Callithrix jacchus: one gene and its partner. The protein of the gene in region 2 interacts with the protein of the main gene of each other region in a pairwise test. Links are inferred from orthologs where the notes say so. Each region holds a gene or a part of one and is shown on either strand. Other genes may lie near its edges.

Evidence for each region.
Region 1: the proteins of TACC1 (region 2) and CKAP5 interact in binary tests that used the Homo sapiens proteins (3 or more experiments, as listed by UniProt). The link is inferred for Callithrix jacchus from reciprocal best matches to the Homo sapiens genes TACC1 and CKAP5.

The regions. Positions count from the first base shown.
Region 1 is NC_133511.1:111,899,677-111,907,380, forward strand, and holds the start of CKAP5 (cytoskeleton-associated protein 5), read right to left. Parts: upstream 5,266-7,704; 5' UTR 5,158-5,265; exon of another isoform or gene 5,073-5,157; intron 1-5,072. UniProt on the Homo sapiens protein: Binds to the plus end of microtubules and regulates microtubule dynamics and microtubule organization. Acts as a processive microtubule polymerase. Promotes cytoplasmic microtubule nucleation and elongation. Plays a major role in organizing spindle poles.
Region 2 is NC_133514.1:39,582,767-39,590,411, reverse strand, and holds the start of TACC1 (transforming acidic coiled-coil-containing protein 1), read right to left. Parts: upstream 4,746-7,645; 5' UTR 4,327-4,745; coding exon of another isoform or gene 4,250-4,326; intron 1-4,249. UniProt on the Homo sapiens protein: Involved in transcription regulation induced by nuclear receptors, including in T3 thyroid hormone and all-trans retinoic acid pathways. Might promote the nuclear localization of the receptors.

The DNA of each region.
Region 1 (7,704 bases), on a different chromosome or scaffold from region 2:
TATAGCTCTTCATCTGTATCCTTTGCAATATCCTTTATAATAAACTGGATGGAAAATGTGTTTTCCTGAGTTCTGTGAACAGCTCTAGCAAATTAATCAAACCCAAGGAGGAGGGTTATAGGAATGCCCATTTATTTTTTATTTATTTATTTGTTTTTGTTTTTTTTTGGAGGGGGCACCCGGATATGAACCAGGGAGGAATGCCCATTTATATAGTCAGTCAGTCTACAGAAGCACAGATTAAAAAAAAAACCTGGGGCTTCAGACTGGCATCTGAGTTGGGGGCAATCTTACAAGACTAAACCCTCAATCTGTGGGATCTGACACTACCTCCAGATAGTGTCAGAATTGGACAGGCGCAGTGGCTCATACCTGTAATCCTAGCACTTTGGGAGGCTGAGGTGGGCAGATCACCTGAGGTCAGAAGTTCGAGACCAGCCTGGCCAACATGGAAAAATTGTCTATACTAAAAACACAAAAAATTAGCTGGGCGTGGTGGCAGGTGCTTGTAATCCCAGCTACTCAGGAGGCTGAGGCAGGAGAATCGCTTGAACCCAGGAGGCGGAGGTTGCAGTGAGCCAAGATCACGCCACTGTACTCCAGCCTGGGTGACAGAGCGACTGTCTCAAAAAAAAAAAAAAGTGTTAGAATTGAACTGAACTAGAGGACACAAAGGTGGTGTTCACTGCTCAAGAACTACTTGCTTGGCATGTGGGGAAAAGCTCCCACATATCTGAGGTCACGGAAATATTCTACAGTATAAATGTATAAGATAAACTTACTAGTTTGTTATTCTAAATGGTCAGAATTGGGATTTGCTTGAATGACTTTGGCTCACAGACATATATGGTTTGGGAAGAAAAAGGATAAAAGGATGGGGGACGAAGAATCTTTGATTCCTGAGTGGCCAAGTGGTCACTTATGGCAAGGAGCCAAAGCTGTGCTGTCATCAATTACTAAAGGTAAAAGTTATCCTATGGAACCAGTACAGTGGCTCACGATTGTAATCCCAGCACTTTGGGAGGCTGAGGTGGGTGGATCACGAGGTCAAGAGATCTAAACCATCCTGGCTAACATGGTGAAACTCTGTCTCTACTAAAAAATAAAAAAAAAATTAGCTAGGCGTGGTGGCACGCACCTGTAGTCCCAGCTACTCGAGAAGCTAAGGCAGGAGAATTGCTTGAACCCAGGAGGTGGAGATTGTAGTGAGCCGAGATTGCACCACTGCACTCCAGCCTGGGCTACAAAGCGAGACTGCGTCTCAAAAAAAAGTTAATTATGGAATCTACAGATGGATCCAACTGCCTGGGAGTTGGTTCACGGGATACACAAGGAGATGCAAACTAGTATTTAAGAAATGAAATGTTAAATCCCTTGGTTATTGTTATCTGTTACAGCTAAAATGAAATTAAGAGAGTGGTGGGTTGGACCTTCCTGCTAGACCAAGCTCAGATTTCAGTAAGTGTGTGAGCTTAGGCCACTAGCCTCAAAGCTGTCCCAAGGGAAAAATTTATGCTGTCACAACCAAAAGTGCTTCTAAGACCTCTGGTAAGGAAGAGGGTGGTCTGCAAAACCAAGGAACTATTGAAACCAGGGGCTACAATGTGAAAGAATTGTTTCATTTTTGTACATTAGTATCATCAGCTTCTTGAGGAGAACAGTCTGATTCTACCTATAAATGCCAAGTGTAACACCCCAGATCCAGATAAAGCCACTGATGCTTCATATGCAAGCCACGTGAAAATGGCTTTATGATGACTAGGACATTTACCTTCTAAAAATGCCCACTACCCAGGTCATGGTAAATGCGGTGGTTAAGGGTGGACTCCTTAATGTGGATAACCTTACCACTGCAAAATCAAAAGACAGTTCGAGAAGCCTTACCAAATGTGCTGTCTGTTTCCTCTCATAGGACTTACAGATGCTAATAAAACCATTAGGCTAAGAGAATAGTGAGACAGAGGGCAAATGGATTCATCATGGAAGGTGGAAATTTTTAAATGGTTATTAAGAAATAAGGTAGAAGGATGTGGTGGCTCATGCCCGTAATCCCAGCACTTTGGGAGGACGAGGCTGGATGATCACGTGAGCCCAGGGGTTCAAGACTAGCATGGGTGCCAAAGGGAGCCCCTGGTAGTTTCCCAATATTAAGGGGTTCCAACCAGGTTTGCTATATTTACCCCAGTTTGGAGAAATTCTAAGTCAGGAGGCAGATTATAATGAGAAATCGAATCTGAAATTGATGGGGCAATAAGCAGGTGAGTCAAAAAGATAAAGACTAACAGGCCGGGTGTGGGGGCTCATGCCTGTAATCCCAGCATTGTGGGAGGCTGAGGCAGGTGGATCATGAGGTCAGGAGATCGAGACCACCCTGGCCAATATGGTGAAATCCTGTGTCTACTAAAATACAAAAAATTTGTTGGGTGTAGAGGCACGTGCCTATAGTCTCAGCTACTCCGGAGGCTGAGGCAGGGGAATCACTTGAACCCAGGAGACGGAGGTTGCAATGAGCCAAGATTGCACCACTGCACTCCAGCCTGGTGACAAAGCAAGACTCCATCTCAAAAAAAACAAAAAACTGACAAATGGGCAAGTGTCTCTTGGATGAGGACCCCAAGTTTTCTGTATACAAGTAGGTAAAATGGTCAGGGAGTGGTGAAGAGAAATTCCTGGGTCTCCTTCATATAGAAGCCCCAGGCACAGTGGTACCAAGAGCCATTTGTGAAGCCCTGAAGAGGGCTACAACTAGATTAAGAGAAGGCCAGTCATACTGGTTGACACCTGTAACCCCAGCATTTTGGGAGGCCGAGACAGAAGGACGCCTTGAGCCCAGGAATTCAAGACCAGGTTGGGCAACAAGGTAAAACCTCGTTGCTACAAAAAATTTAAAAATTTGCCAGGCATGGTGATGCACATCTGTAGTCCCAGCTACTCAGAGGCTGAGATGGGAGGATCACCTGAGCCCTGGAGGTCGAGGCTGCAGTGAGCCATAATTGCAGCACTGCACCGCAGCCAAGGCGACAGAGTGAGATCTGATCTCAAAAAAAAAAAAAAAAAAAAAAAAAAAAAGAGAGAGAGAGAGAACACAAAAACGTGTTGACACTACTACGAAAGTTGGAAGCCGTGTCTCCTATACATAAATGTTTTATGGGAATGGATAATATGTCTGGCTGGGGAACACTTCCCCTACCTAGAATTGCAAAAACAAAACCTGTTGATCAGGTCCTAATGGAAGCTGCAGTTAGAAAAGTGAGGGTTGGCTGGATGTGGTGGCTCGCCCCTGTAATTCCAGCACTTTGGGAAGCCGAGGTGGGCGGATCACTTAAGATCAGAAGTTCGAGACCAGCCTGCCCAACATGGTGAAACCCTGTCTCTACTAAAAATACAAAAAATTAGCTGGGCATCATGGTACACACCAGTAGTCCCAGCTACTTGGGAGGCTGAGGTGGGAGAATCCCTTGAACCTAGGAGGCAGAGGTTGCAGTGAGCCAAGATCATGCCACTGCACTCCAGCCTGGGCAACAGAGTGAGACTCCATCTCAAAAAGAAAAAAAAAAAAAGAAAGAAAGAAAAGCGTTGATGGAATTAAGATAAAAGTTTATAAGAGAGTTGGTATATTCAAACATACTTCATGTGAGAGCTCCACACCCCTCTCACACCTACTAGACCTATGCCTCTCTTCATCTCTATCCTTTGTAGCATCCTTTACAATAAACTGGTAAAAGAAAAAGAAAAGAAAAAAAAAAAAACAGAAAAACAGCTGCTGCTAAAACTGAACCGTCAGTTGTAGAAAAGTGCGATGGAATTACCACACACCACTGTTCATAATTCAAAGCTGATCAACACTTTAAAGTAATGGAGAATAAAATAAAAGTCATGTTAATTGTTATGGAATACCTTTGCTTGTCATTGCCTCAGTGAACAGCCTTTAAAAATGTATTTAAAATTTTTTTTTGCATGAGTTTATCAACTAGATTTAACTTATGCTGGCAAAATAAATTGCTTCCACCTTTATATCACTAAAGTTTATAAAAGCATTACAGTTTGCCCAGTCACTTAAGTCAAAAATCCTTTACAATTTTTTAAAGTTTCAAAAGATTCTTAGCTTCATTTATTGGCTCGTTAGGTCAAAGAAGGACTTTTCAGGGTGATGAAAATGGAGGAAGGAGGAGCTCACCTTTCTAAAAATGAGTTTTCAATTACTATAATTATGCATAAGACAGGCAGCATTTCTGGGCCAAGATTTGATGTCCTGGTCCCATGAGAATTAAATTAGAGCCATGCATAAATTTGGGGCAAGTTCTGCAAAAACCACTTCAACTTCTATTGATGCTGAATGAAAAACTCATTGTTAAGATTCATCAACACGAATATATTTTCTAACACACACTAGCCACTCTGGCAACATCCCTTTCACCATTTTCTATCCAAGAAACAGAACGGAATGCATTTCAATCCTGCCCAACAATGACCACCATTACAACTAGTAGGGGAGAGCTCAAAACTAAGAATCCAGTTCACTGAGCCCCGACCTTAAAGTAGCAAGGCCTGCTGGACCCCACATTGCTGGCTATTGTATTGGTTCCCCCACATCTCCAGGGCTAGAAGGACACCTGAACGCTCCCGACACCTTGAGAGAGTGAAAGCCAAACAAACGTTAAGGGCGGGGTGGTGCATGATCGGAATCGTTCACATCGCAGCAAGCCGGCAGGGGACACAGGTGTGCGGCCAGGCCCCAATACCGCCGTTCTCGTCACGCTCCGAGACGACAAGGCCCTTCTCAACCACCACAGCCCTAGGAGGCTCTTACTTATTCATTCACTTGACAATTACGCGAGGAGCACTCTAGCAGGGCCGGCTCCCCGGGCCCCCGCCCTGGTTCGGGTATATCGCAGCCGCCAGGCGCGGCCCGGTGCCGCCCGCGCTTCCCGGGCACTGCCACCCGCGCCCTGCTGCGGTGCGCTCTGGCCACCCGGAGCCCAACCCCGGCCTCCGCCGCACACGAGCGCCCACGCCCCCCGCCCTGCCCGCCGCAGGTCCCCCGGCCTCCGCCCCGCTTCGCCGCCTCAGACCTGCCGGGTTCGTGGGACAAGGGCGGCGCGCTTCTGAAGACCCCCCCGCCCCTGGGACCCAGAGACCACTGTACGCGCGCGATACCTGCCCTCGAGGGCCTCGTGGGTGGGGCAGGCCCACCTATCACTCACCTCAGCCGGGTCAGAACCAAGGGGCCTGCTCTAAGCCGTTTGAAACCGCTTGGGCCGCCGCACACCCCGCAGTGTCCTCGTTCTTTATTGGTCCTCGACGGACCGCCCATCAGCCTTTTATTGGTCCATTTGAAAGGTCTGTGGGCACGCGCCTCCTGCAGCCTTAAGGGAGCCGCGCGCTGCTGTGTTTCCCTCTGGACCTGGCGTTGCCAGCTCGGGTGGGGACGCCGGTCGCTGCGGGGGCCGAGCTGCCGACGGCCCCGAAAAGGAGGGCCAAAGGTGTGTGTAGGGCTGGGCATTTCTGACCGTCAGCATGCCTCAGCCTCCTGAGTTTAATGCTACCTTGAGGAATTTGTCCTACAGATGTACGCAAGTATGCAAAGAAAAAGAAAAATTTCCAATGATGTTTACTGCACTACTGCAGTAATCCCAAGTAGCTGGGATTACAGACTTGCATCACCATGCCCAGCTAATTTTTTTTTTTTTTTCTGGTAGAGACGGGGTTTCACCATGTTGGCCAGGGTGATCTCGAACTCCTGATCTCAAGTGATCCACCCGCCTTGGCCTTTCAAAGTGTTGTGATTACAGGCATGAGCCACTGTGTCCAGCCAGCACTGCTTAAGATTAAAAAAAAAAAAAAAAAAATTCTGGAGGCCAAGCATGGTGGCTTATGCCTATAATCCCAGTGCTTTGGGAGCTGGAGGTGGAGGATTGCTGGAGTGTGGGAGATAAAGGCTGCAGTGAGCTATGATCATACCACTGTACTCCAGCCTGGGTGAAATTAGATGTTTATCAACAGAGAACTTTTTACATGAATTATGGTATATCCATTCAATGGAACTCTATGCAACTGTTTAAAAGAATGTGGTTCATCTACATGCTGGAGTGGAAAAATGCACAAATTTTATTAATTGAACAAAAAGCAAGTTGCAAAACTTGTGCAATGATTTTATTATATATGGTTATAAATATATGTGTTTGAGGACATGCCTGAAAATGGTTAGAACCTTCCTGGAATTATAAGAAACTTAATAGAAGTGGGACTCGACAGGGAAGAAAATAAATTTTTACCATTGATATGATGTGTTTCTTTTTTCCTTCATAGAAGGAGCGAGATGTCTAGTGGGCAAAGTGTGAGTCAGGGCACAGAAACAAGGAAGTGCATCGTATGTATGGGACTGAACATGTGGGGTTGATTTTAGGACTGAAATTATGTTGGGAAGTAGTGGAACACAAGATTGACACAGAAGGTTAGAAGCAGTTCTTAAAGGATCCTGAATACCAGGGTATGGAATTAGTACTTTGTTAAGTGGATAATGGGGGGGGGCTATTAAGAGTTCCTGAGCAAGAGAGTGACAAAATCAGAGTTGTACTTTAGGAACATTAATTAGATTGATTGTCTAAAATGGTTTAGAGTTGGGAACCCAGCAAGGCGTCTGATATGAGGTGTTAGCGGTAGAGAGAATGAGAGCAGATTCAAGAAAGAATGAAAGATTTGGCAACTGACTAAATTAGTTGCAAAGGAGAGGGTGGATCCCATTTAGGGAGGCGAGTCAAAGAGAATTCCAGGATTTGATTGCCCAATGGAAGTAGGCAATCAGAAGAAGCAGGTCTCAAGGGTAGGGTGAGGAGTTTAAATTACAACCTGTTTACTGGTAGGTACCAATGAAGCATTCTAATGGAACCGTCCAAGTAGGCCTAGAAAATATACAATGGAAGCTGGAAGAATAGATGTAGAATCAATGATAAAGATTTGGGGATCACATTGATAGAGTGAATGAGACTACAGACAGGGGATTGGAAAGAGTGAAAGGATGGGCAATGAGGACAGATTCACATGTAGGAGAAGAAAGGAATGAATCAAAGCAATACGGTCATGGTAACCTTGGAGAAATTGATGAGGACATACAGAAATAGTCTTCTTCAGTCATTGGTTGTTGGCATATTTACTTCATTTAAATATTACCAGAAATAAACTGAAGATCACATTTATGGAGAGGGTGTGATGATAATCTGGAATTGGCTTAATAAAGTATGTTTGTACAGTGTGGGTCCTGGAGAGTTTTAGAACAAGACGGCAAAACCCCTTTTTGTCTTGGATGACTTAGGTACATCCCTACTTTAAGATGGGCATTAGATGTCTGATTCTACTCATTTATTCATTCGACAAATGTTTATCAGCACCTAGTATGTGGAGGGACTATTCTAGGCACTGCAACGATCAGTAGACAAAATAGACTCCCCAAAATTTCCTCCCCTTGGGGCACTCACACTATAGTGAGGAAACACAGACAATCAATGCATAAATAAATTATATAGTGTGTTATTAGAAAATATGTCCAGTGGGAAAAGGAAAAATAATAAAACTGGGTAAAGGGCTAGGAAATTGGGGTTGGAAAGACTATAATTTTATTTTATTTTTCAACTTTTATTTTAGAATCTGGGGTACATGTGCAGATTTGTGATAAAGGTATATTGTGTGATGCTAAGGTTTGGGGTA
Region 2 (7,645 bases):
TTCGTTACATACCATATCCCTAATGAATCCTACGTTCCGCTTTGTCTCATCCTTCAAATCTCTCCACAAATTCCTCACTACTCATAGAAAACCTACCTTGGCCACATCGCCAAAAATAAACAACTAAGGAATGAGTGATTTCAAACCTTTCATCAAACCACCATATCCCCAAATGTAATCTCCATCCTCTTGGTAGTACAACTTTCTGGAAAAGGAAAGTGAAAAATGAGAAAAACATTAACTCAAAAAAGTTATTTCCTTTCTTCTCTCAGAGGCCTTGCAGAATTAGCACACAAATCAAACTTCCCTGCAGAAGAGACCCTGCCTTACTCATGAATGTACCTTCCAAAGAGCCCAGCATAGCATCTGGTTCATGGGTATACATACGTGCAAATATGTCCATAATAACTATGTATTGCACACTCACTACGTGCTGGCCATTGTGTTACTAATATATACCACTTCAAAAATGAGGTCTGAGGCCAGGTGCAGTGGCTCACGCCTATAATGCCAGCACTTTGGGAGGCCAAGGTGGGTGGATCACTTGAGGTCAACAGTTCGAGACCAGCCCGGCCAACATGGTGAAACCCCATCTCTACTATAAATAAAAATTATTTTATTTGGTGTTGTACCTGTAATCCCAGCTACTCAGGAGGCTGAGGCAGGAGGCATCACTTGAACCTGGGAGATGGAGGTTGCAGTGAGCCAAGATCGTGCCATTGCACTCCAGCCTGGGCAACAGAGTGAGACTGTCTCTAAAAAAAAAAAAAATTAGGCCTGATTATTATTGCCATTTTATAGATGTAGAAAATTGCCCAACTGAAGAGTTAAATAACTATTATTTCCAGTGTTTCCTAAACTAACCTCCTAAGTGATCTAGCTGGTATTACAACCCAGGTCTGCCTGACTCCACAATTTCTGCTCTTAATCACCTTCCTGGGCAGCCTCATTGAACAAATGAAGTGAAATTTCCACTAGCTTTTACCAAAGCTGGCTCATTTGTTTCTTGGGTTTGGAGAAGGTTAGCAGCTACAATTCTCCATAATAATGAATTCTATCTTAAAATCAGACATTTCTTTTCATGTACATCTATACTTGTTTATGTTTCACAATAGAGCTCTTATAAAAGAGATTTAATCTGGTTACTTTTAGTACCTGATTAAATTATTCTGAGATACAAATTGTGAACATTCTGAAACATACTTTCTTCCTCAAAAGACAAATGCCAGCATTAATGTATTACTCATATGACTCTCATATTTTTTTTTTTTAAAAAAAAGAACAATAGATTTTGAAAAAGCTACAGCCTGAGTAGGAGAACTTCCTTGAGGTCAGCGTTATCCACAACAGCCATACGTCCGGCAGGAAGTCTGTAGCGGGTGACATTAACAATGAATCGCCCACTTTCTTGTATCCTGGAGAGACTTGTGGCTTAGACTTGTGGCTTCAGACATCTGAACGAGGCAGGACTTGGATAAAAAGCATCCTTTTTGCTTTTCATGTATATTACAGGTTGGAATCTTGCGTATCTAAAGTCTTTCACTTGGGCATGCCAAATACTTTGTGAGGCTGCCTCATTGAGCAGAGTCTACACATGCAGATGAGGCCAGTAATCCCAGCACTGATTGCATGTGTTTATGTGCTTAATGTATTCGCTTGAGTAGGAAGGGCTGCATTCCTAGGCAAAGACCAAGGATAGCCTTTCATGTTGATCGTTTTTAGGCAAGCTTTGCAAAATACACAAGGTGCACACAGAGCCTCCATGAAGAGAGAGATCCTCTATACATGTTTATATTATACAGTTAAAATGAGTAGACTGCCAAGCCACTGGATAATTTAATAACTGCTAATTTAACACCCTAACAACTGAATCCTACCTCGCATCCTGAGTTGATTTCTTCAGCATGCCATAGTGAATGACTCCATTATTTACTTGCAAGTTACACAGTAAACCTGGCCACACATTCACAAAAAATAGTCAACTTTCATCCTCAGTTAAATTAGTATATTGCTCAGAGATAAACTATAACTTATTATTCATATATATATACATGACTTTATGTCAATCTCAGAACAGCCTGTGAAGTAGATATTGTTATAATTCCTGTTTCACAAACAAGGAAACAGACACAGAGGGGTTAAGGAAGAGATAAAAGATCTCCAGCATTAAGGAGCAGCACCTAGAAATTAAACGCATGGCTATTTGCCTCCAAAACTCTTAACTTCATCTCAGTTATGAGTGTTATATTGCCACTCATTTTGTTTTTTGAAAGTTAAATTGGCCAGACGCAGTGGCTCACACCTGTAATCTCAGCATTTTGGGGAGTCACGAGTGGGTGGATCATGAGGTCAGGAGATGGAGACCATCCTGGCCATGGTGAAACCCTATCTCTACTAAAATACACAAAAATTAGCCAGGCTGGTGGTGTGCACTTGTAATCCCAGATACTCAGGAGGCTGAAGCAGGGGAATCGCTTGAACCCAGGAGACACAGGTTGCAGTGAGCCAAGATCGCGCCAATGTACTCCAGCCTGGCGACAGAGCAAGATTCTGTCTAAAAAAAAAAAGAAAGTTAAATTGACTTTGGCAATTTTGCCTTATTGGCTATTAAGCATTGCTATTGCAGATTTCCTCCTTATTCAAAGAAAATTAAAGGAAAAAGGAGGGTGTGCTCTGCCAGTTGAGACAAATTTTGATTGTTTCCTAGGATAGTTCCAAGTGTTGGGTGGGAGGCGGCTGCAGCATGAGCTCTGGAGTTAGGCAGTCTGGGGTCCACCACTTTCTAGCTGTGTGACCTTGGACAAGTTACTTGATCTTTCTGTGCTTCAGTTCCCTCGCCAGGAAAATGAAGAGAGTAACAAGAGCAGTAATAACTCAGTGCTCTTGGGGGTTAAATAACATGTGGCGCATTTAGAAGCGTTTTGCACATGTCATGTGCTCAGTAAATCTCAGCTATTCTTTTTTTTTTTTTTTTTTTTTTAGACAGAGTCTCCCTCTGTTGCTCAGGCTGGAGGGCAGTGGTGCAATCTCAGCTCACCACAACCTCCTTCTCCCGGGTTCAAGCGATTCTCCCATCTCAGCCTCCCAAGTAGCTGGCACTATAGGCTCACGTCAACCAAGCCAGGCTAATTTTTGTATTTGTAGTAGAGACGGGGGTTTCACCATGTTGGCCAAGGCGGATCAAACTCCTGACTTCAAGTGATCCGCCTGCCTCGACCTCCCAAAGTGCTGGGCTTACAGGCCTGAGCCACAATCGCCTGGCCTCAGCTATTCTTATTAATAAGCTGCCTGAAGTAAGTTTAGATTTGTGATCATCAATAAACGTTAGGAGCCACAATTAACATTTGGATATTCCGAAAGATACTTTGTCTTGAAAAGATGATTTAAAAGCCTTCCCACCGTCCAGGCTGCTTTTGTGATGGTTAAGTGTATCTTTCTAAAACGAAATAACTCCCACTCTGGCTGCTTTAAAATAAGGAGTATGGACTCCTTGACATTGCCGCAATTCCAAGACACGCATGCATTAAAAAAAAATTAATCAAATACTTAAAGACTATTTGGGTTTCCAAATAAATCGTTATCCCCTCTCTGTCTATAAGCGTGGCCATCTTCCAAACAGTGGGACTTGCTCCTAATCACGTTCTCGAAAACTTTCCCTTCACTGCTTGCATTACAGTACTCGGTGTCCCCAATTGTTGCTGTCCCAGAACAAAAGCCTAATTGCTGCTGCTACAATACAGCCCTTTTTTTTTTTTTTTACTGAGATCATCATGAAGCCCTTGGAGCAAACAAGAGAGGGAGTTCTTGCAAGCAGCAAGGACGGCGTCAAAATTTCTGGACCCCGAGGGCCAACATGAGCTGCGTTTAGAGACTCTGGGGCCTCTCTCATGGTTTTACCTCCCTGCAAATAGCTATCTTTTGAACGTTTCAGAGCTCTTTAGGACACGTGGGTTTTCTGCTTGGACGAGGCCAGAAAAACTCGGGGTCCCCTTATCTCGCCGGTGCAGCGTGGAATGGAGCAGGACCACAGTCCCGCCCGGACGCAATCCGGTCGCGGTGGGGTACTGGGGGTCTCTCCCAGCCGGGCGTACCCGGGGGCCCCGCAGGCCAAACCCAGAGCGCTCGTGTCCCGCAGCCGCGAGCGGCTACTCCACCTTCCCAGCCTTTCTGGGACCGGCCCCGCGCGCTCCATCCATGACTGGCACGCAAACCCCCAAAGGCGGCCCCCGGACAGGGCTCTGGGACTCACGCGGTCTCCGTGGGTCTCGGGGACCTCTCCCCGGCGGGTTCCCGGCCCCTCGGGGTCTGAGAGTGGGAGCCTCCCATGGCGCGGAACTTGGCGCCCGGGCTGCACCCGCCAGTGCTGGGCGGCGGGCGTCTCTTGACCGACCCTGGGCGGGGAGGCAGCTGGGCGGGAGGAAGGGTGGGGCGAGGGTGGGTGGGGTGGGGCGCCCGGCCGTAGGGTCCCAGTTGCTGGGAAAGAGGGGGAAGGAGGTGGCTTCAGACGCCGCCAACTTCTCCGCGGGTTGCAGGGCCTCGCGGGGGCCGCCGCCTGGAGCTGGGGAGCGCCCGGGGCGCGCGGGGCTGCGAGGAGTCCGGGCAGCGGTGCCTCCTCGCCGGGCAAGGGAGCCCCTCAGCCGCACGGGGCAGCAGGTGGAGGGCGCGAGGCCTGCGGGCGCCCCCGGTCCCCGAGCACCGCGGACGTCGCCCTCTCCGCCCGCTGGGTCCAGGGTTGGAAGGGAAGCGGCGGGAAGAGGCCCCGGGAGCAGCTGTTCAGAGAAGAAGCAGGAGGGGGCGGTGTGTGCCAGGGTCGGGGGACCCCGGCGGCCGTGCAAGGGGCGTGGCCTTTTCCCCAAATCGCTTCTGCCTCTTGGGACGCGAGGGAGGCCTGGACTGCGTTGCACAGAACACTGGAGGCATTCTGGTTTTGCTTCCAACTAGCTGAATAACTTGAAACAAGTTATTTCACCCTCTCTGAATCTTGTTTCCTTTGTCTATAAAATAAGGGAGTATGTTCATCTTTAGCTCTTAATGTCCCTTTAGGCTCTGACAACCAAGCAATGAGTTTTCCTCCAAACTATCGGAAAGAAAAAACAAACAAACACCTAGCCCTATCGTCTCATCTGTGACCCAGCTACACCTAGCACCTCCCGTTTCAGCATCTCATGCCCTTCCTCACCATTCCTGCCTCACCATGTTAGGCTGGTCTTGAACTCCTGACCTCAGGTAATCCACCCGCCTAGGCCTCCCAAAGTGCTGCGAGATCGCGTCACTGCACTCCAGCCTGGGCAATAAGAGTGAAACTCCATCTCAAAAATAATAATAATTATCTCTTCACTTGTCTTTCACTAGAATGTAAGTTCTTTAAAGGCAGGAACGCTATGTTGTTGTTGTGAAAGACCGTGTCTCTTTCTGTTGCCCAGGCTGGAGTGCAGTGATGTGATCAGAGCTCGCTGCAACCTTGAATTCCTGGACTCAGGCAGCCCTCCTGCCTCAGCCTTCTCAGCAGCTGGGACCACAGGTGCATGCCACCACACCCATTTTTTTTTCTTTTTCTTTTTAGAGACAGAGTCTCACTATGCTGCCGAGGTTGGTCTCAAACTCCTAGCCTCAAGTGATCCTCCTGCTTTGGCCTCTCAAAGCGCTGGAATTACAGATGTGAGCCACCGCACCCAGCCAGGAATGCTTCTTATCTCTGTATTCTAGCTTAGTGCCCAGCACAGTGCCTGGCTCATGGTTTATATACAATAACTATTTGCCCAATGAATGAATGAGTCAGTGAGGAAGCACACAGAATTGTGTATGCTAACTTCATTCTTGAAGCTATAGGGGAATAAAGATATTTGTGACTACATTTTAGTTGTTCCAGAGAGAATCAGAAAATGCATATTAGAGATGTATATTTATAATAGATTTCTCTTTTATGTATCAGATTTTGACTATCTGTTTATAAATTATCTTCAGTCTACTTTGCCAGAAAGTTCCCAGGGTCCAGGATGTTGGCACATGGTAGACATAAACAGAGTATTTTGAAGTGGAAAAGTAAACAATTAGTAAAAGTAGAGTGAGACTCAGATCTCAGGGTCCAGGATGTTGGCACATGGTAGACATAAACAGAGTATTTTGAAGTGGAAAAATAAACAATTAGTAAAAGTAGAGTGAGGCTGAGATTTTTGAAGGAATTCAGATTTTTGTATGAGGAATTTCAGTTAACTAAAGAAAAGTTGACTCCTGTGGGATTTTTTTTTAGAGGCGGGGTCTTGCTCTGTTACCCAGATTAGAGTGCAGTGGCATGATCTTAGCTCGCTGCAGCCTTGAACTCCTAAGATAATTTTTCTTTGAAGTTCAGATTCTTCCCACAGTCTGTTTGGAACACTATGGCAATGTGATTGACGTGTCATTGAGAAGGCAAACAGGACCCTGTCAGAGCTGCGGTTACCTTCAGAGGAACACTCAGCCTCTCCCAGTGAGAAAGGTCTTTATTCTCAGTTGGTCATTCCAAGGGAAGACAGGAGGGGGAGCGGCAGGAGAGGAGGGTGGAAATGGGAATGTTTTCCTTCTCTGGTAGACAAGTGGGCTGCCGAGAAGAATCTTGCTACTGTCAGTGCAGAAAGGCACAGGGTGATACCACTAACATGGTTGAAAGTAAGGGAAAAAGCCTGGGTGCGGTGGCTCACACCTGTAATCCCAGCACTTTTGGAGGTTAAGGTGGGCAGCACTTGAGGTCAGGAGTTTGAGACCAGCCTGGCCAACATGGCAAAACTCCATCTCTACTTAAAAAAAAAAAAAAAGAAATTAGCTAAGCATGGTGATGTGTACCTGTAATCCCAGCTATTCGGGAAGCTGAGACATGAAAATTGTTTGAACCCGGGAAGCAGAGGTTATAGTGAACTGAGATTGCACCACTGGACTCTACCTTTGGCAACAAAGTGAGACTCTGCCGAAATAAAGAGAGAAGGAGAGAGAAAAGGAAGGGGAGGGGAGGGGAGGGGAGGGGAGGGGAGGGAGCCCACACCCTCTTGTGTTGCAGAGAAATTGAGACAAGAGAAACAGGAACTCTGTGAAACAATGTGAAAGATTAAACATCTGGGACCCAAAGGGCATCTCTGCAAAGATGCTTGTGTGTTGACCTTTTTGGCTTTATGTTGCTTACTGGGTTTGCTGCCCTGACTGGCATGGCAACTGGGGCTTTGGGCCAGGCTGGGTGAACACAGTGAAGGGAATGTTGTCTTTGGGAGATAAACTTATTAGGGCTTTTCAGGAAAAAATGTCCAAGACAGACCAGAGATCCCCAGACACCGCTTACTGCAAAGCATATAGCTTTGCCCTTCTCATGGAAGCAGAACCAAGACATATTTCTCCATCCCAGAGCCTGGCTGCAGATCTCCAAGAAAGGCATAGACTGTGGGATGTCTGCGGTTTCTCTGATTAATGTCTCTGGGTTTAAACTCTTTCTTGCTTTTTATATTTCAGTTAAAAACGAAAGGCTGGACACAGTGGCTCACACCTGTAATCCCAGCACTTTGGTAGGCCAAGCGGGGAGGATCTCTTGAGCCCAGAAGTTCGAGACTAGCCTGGGCAACATAGCGAGTCCCTTGTCTTTACCAAAAATAAAAAATAAATTGGTTGAGCCTGGTGGGGCTCA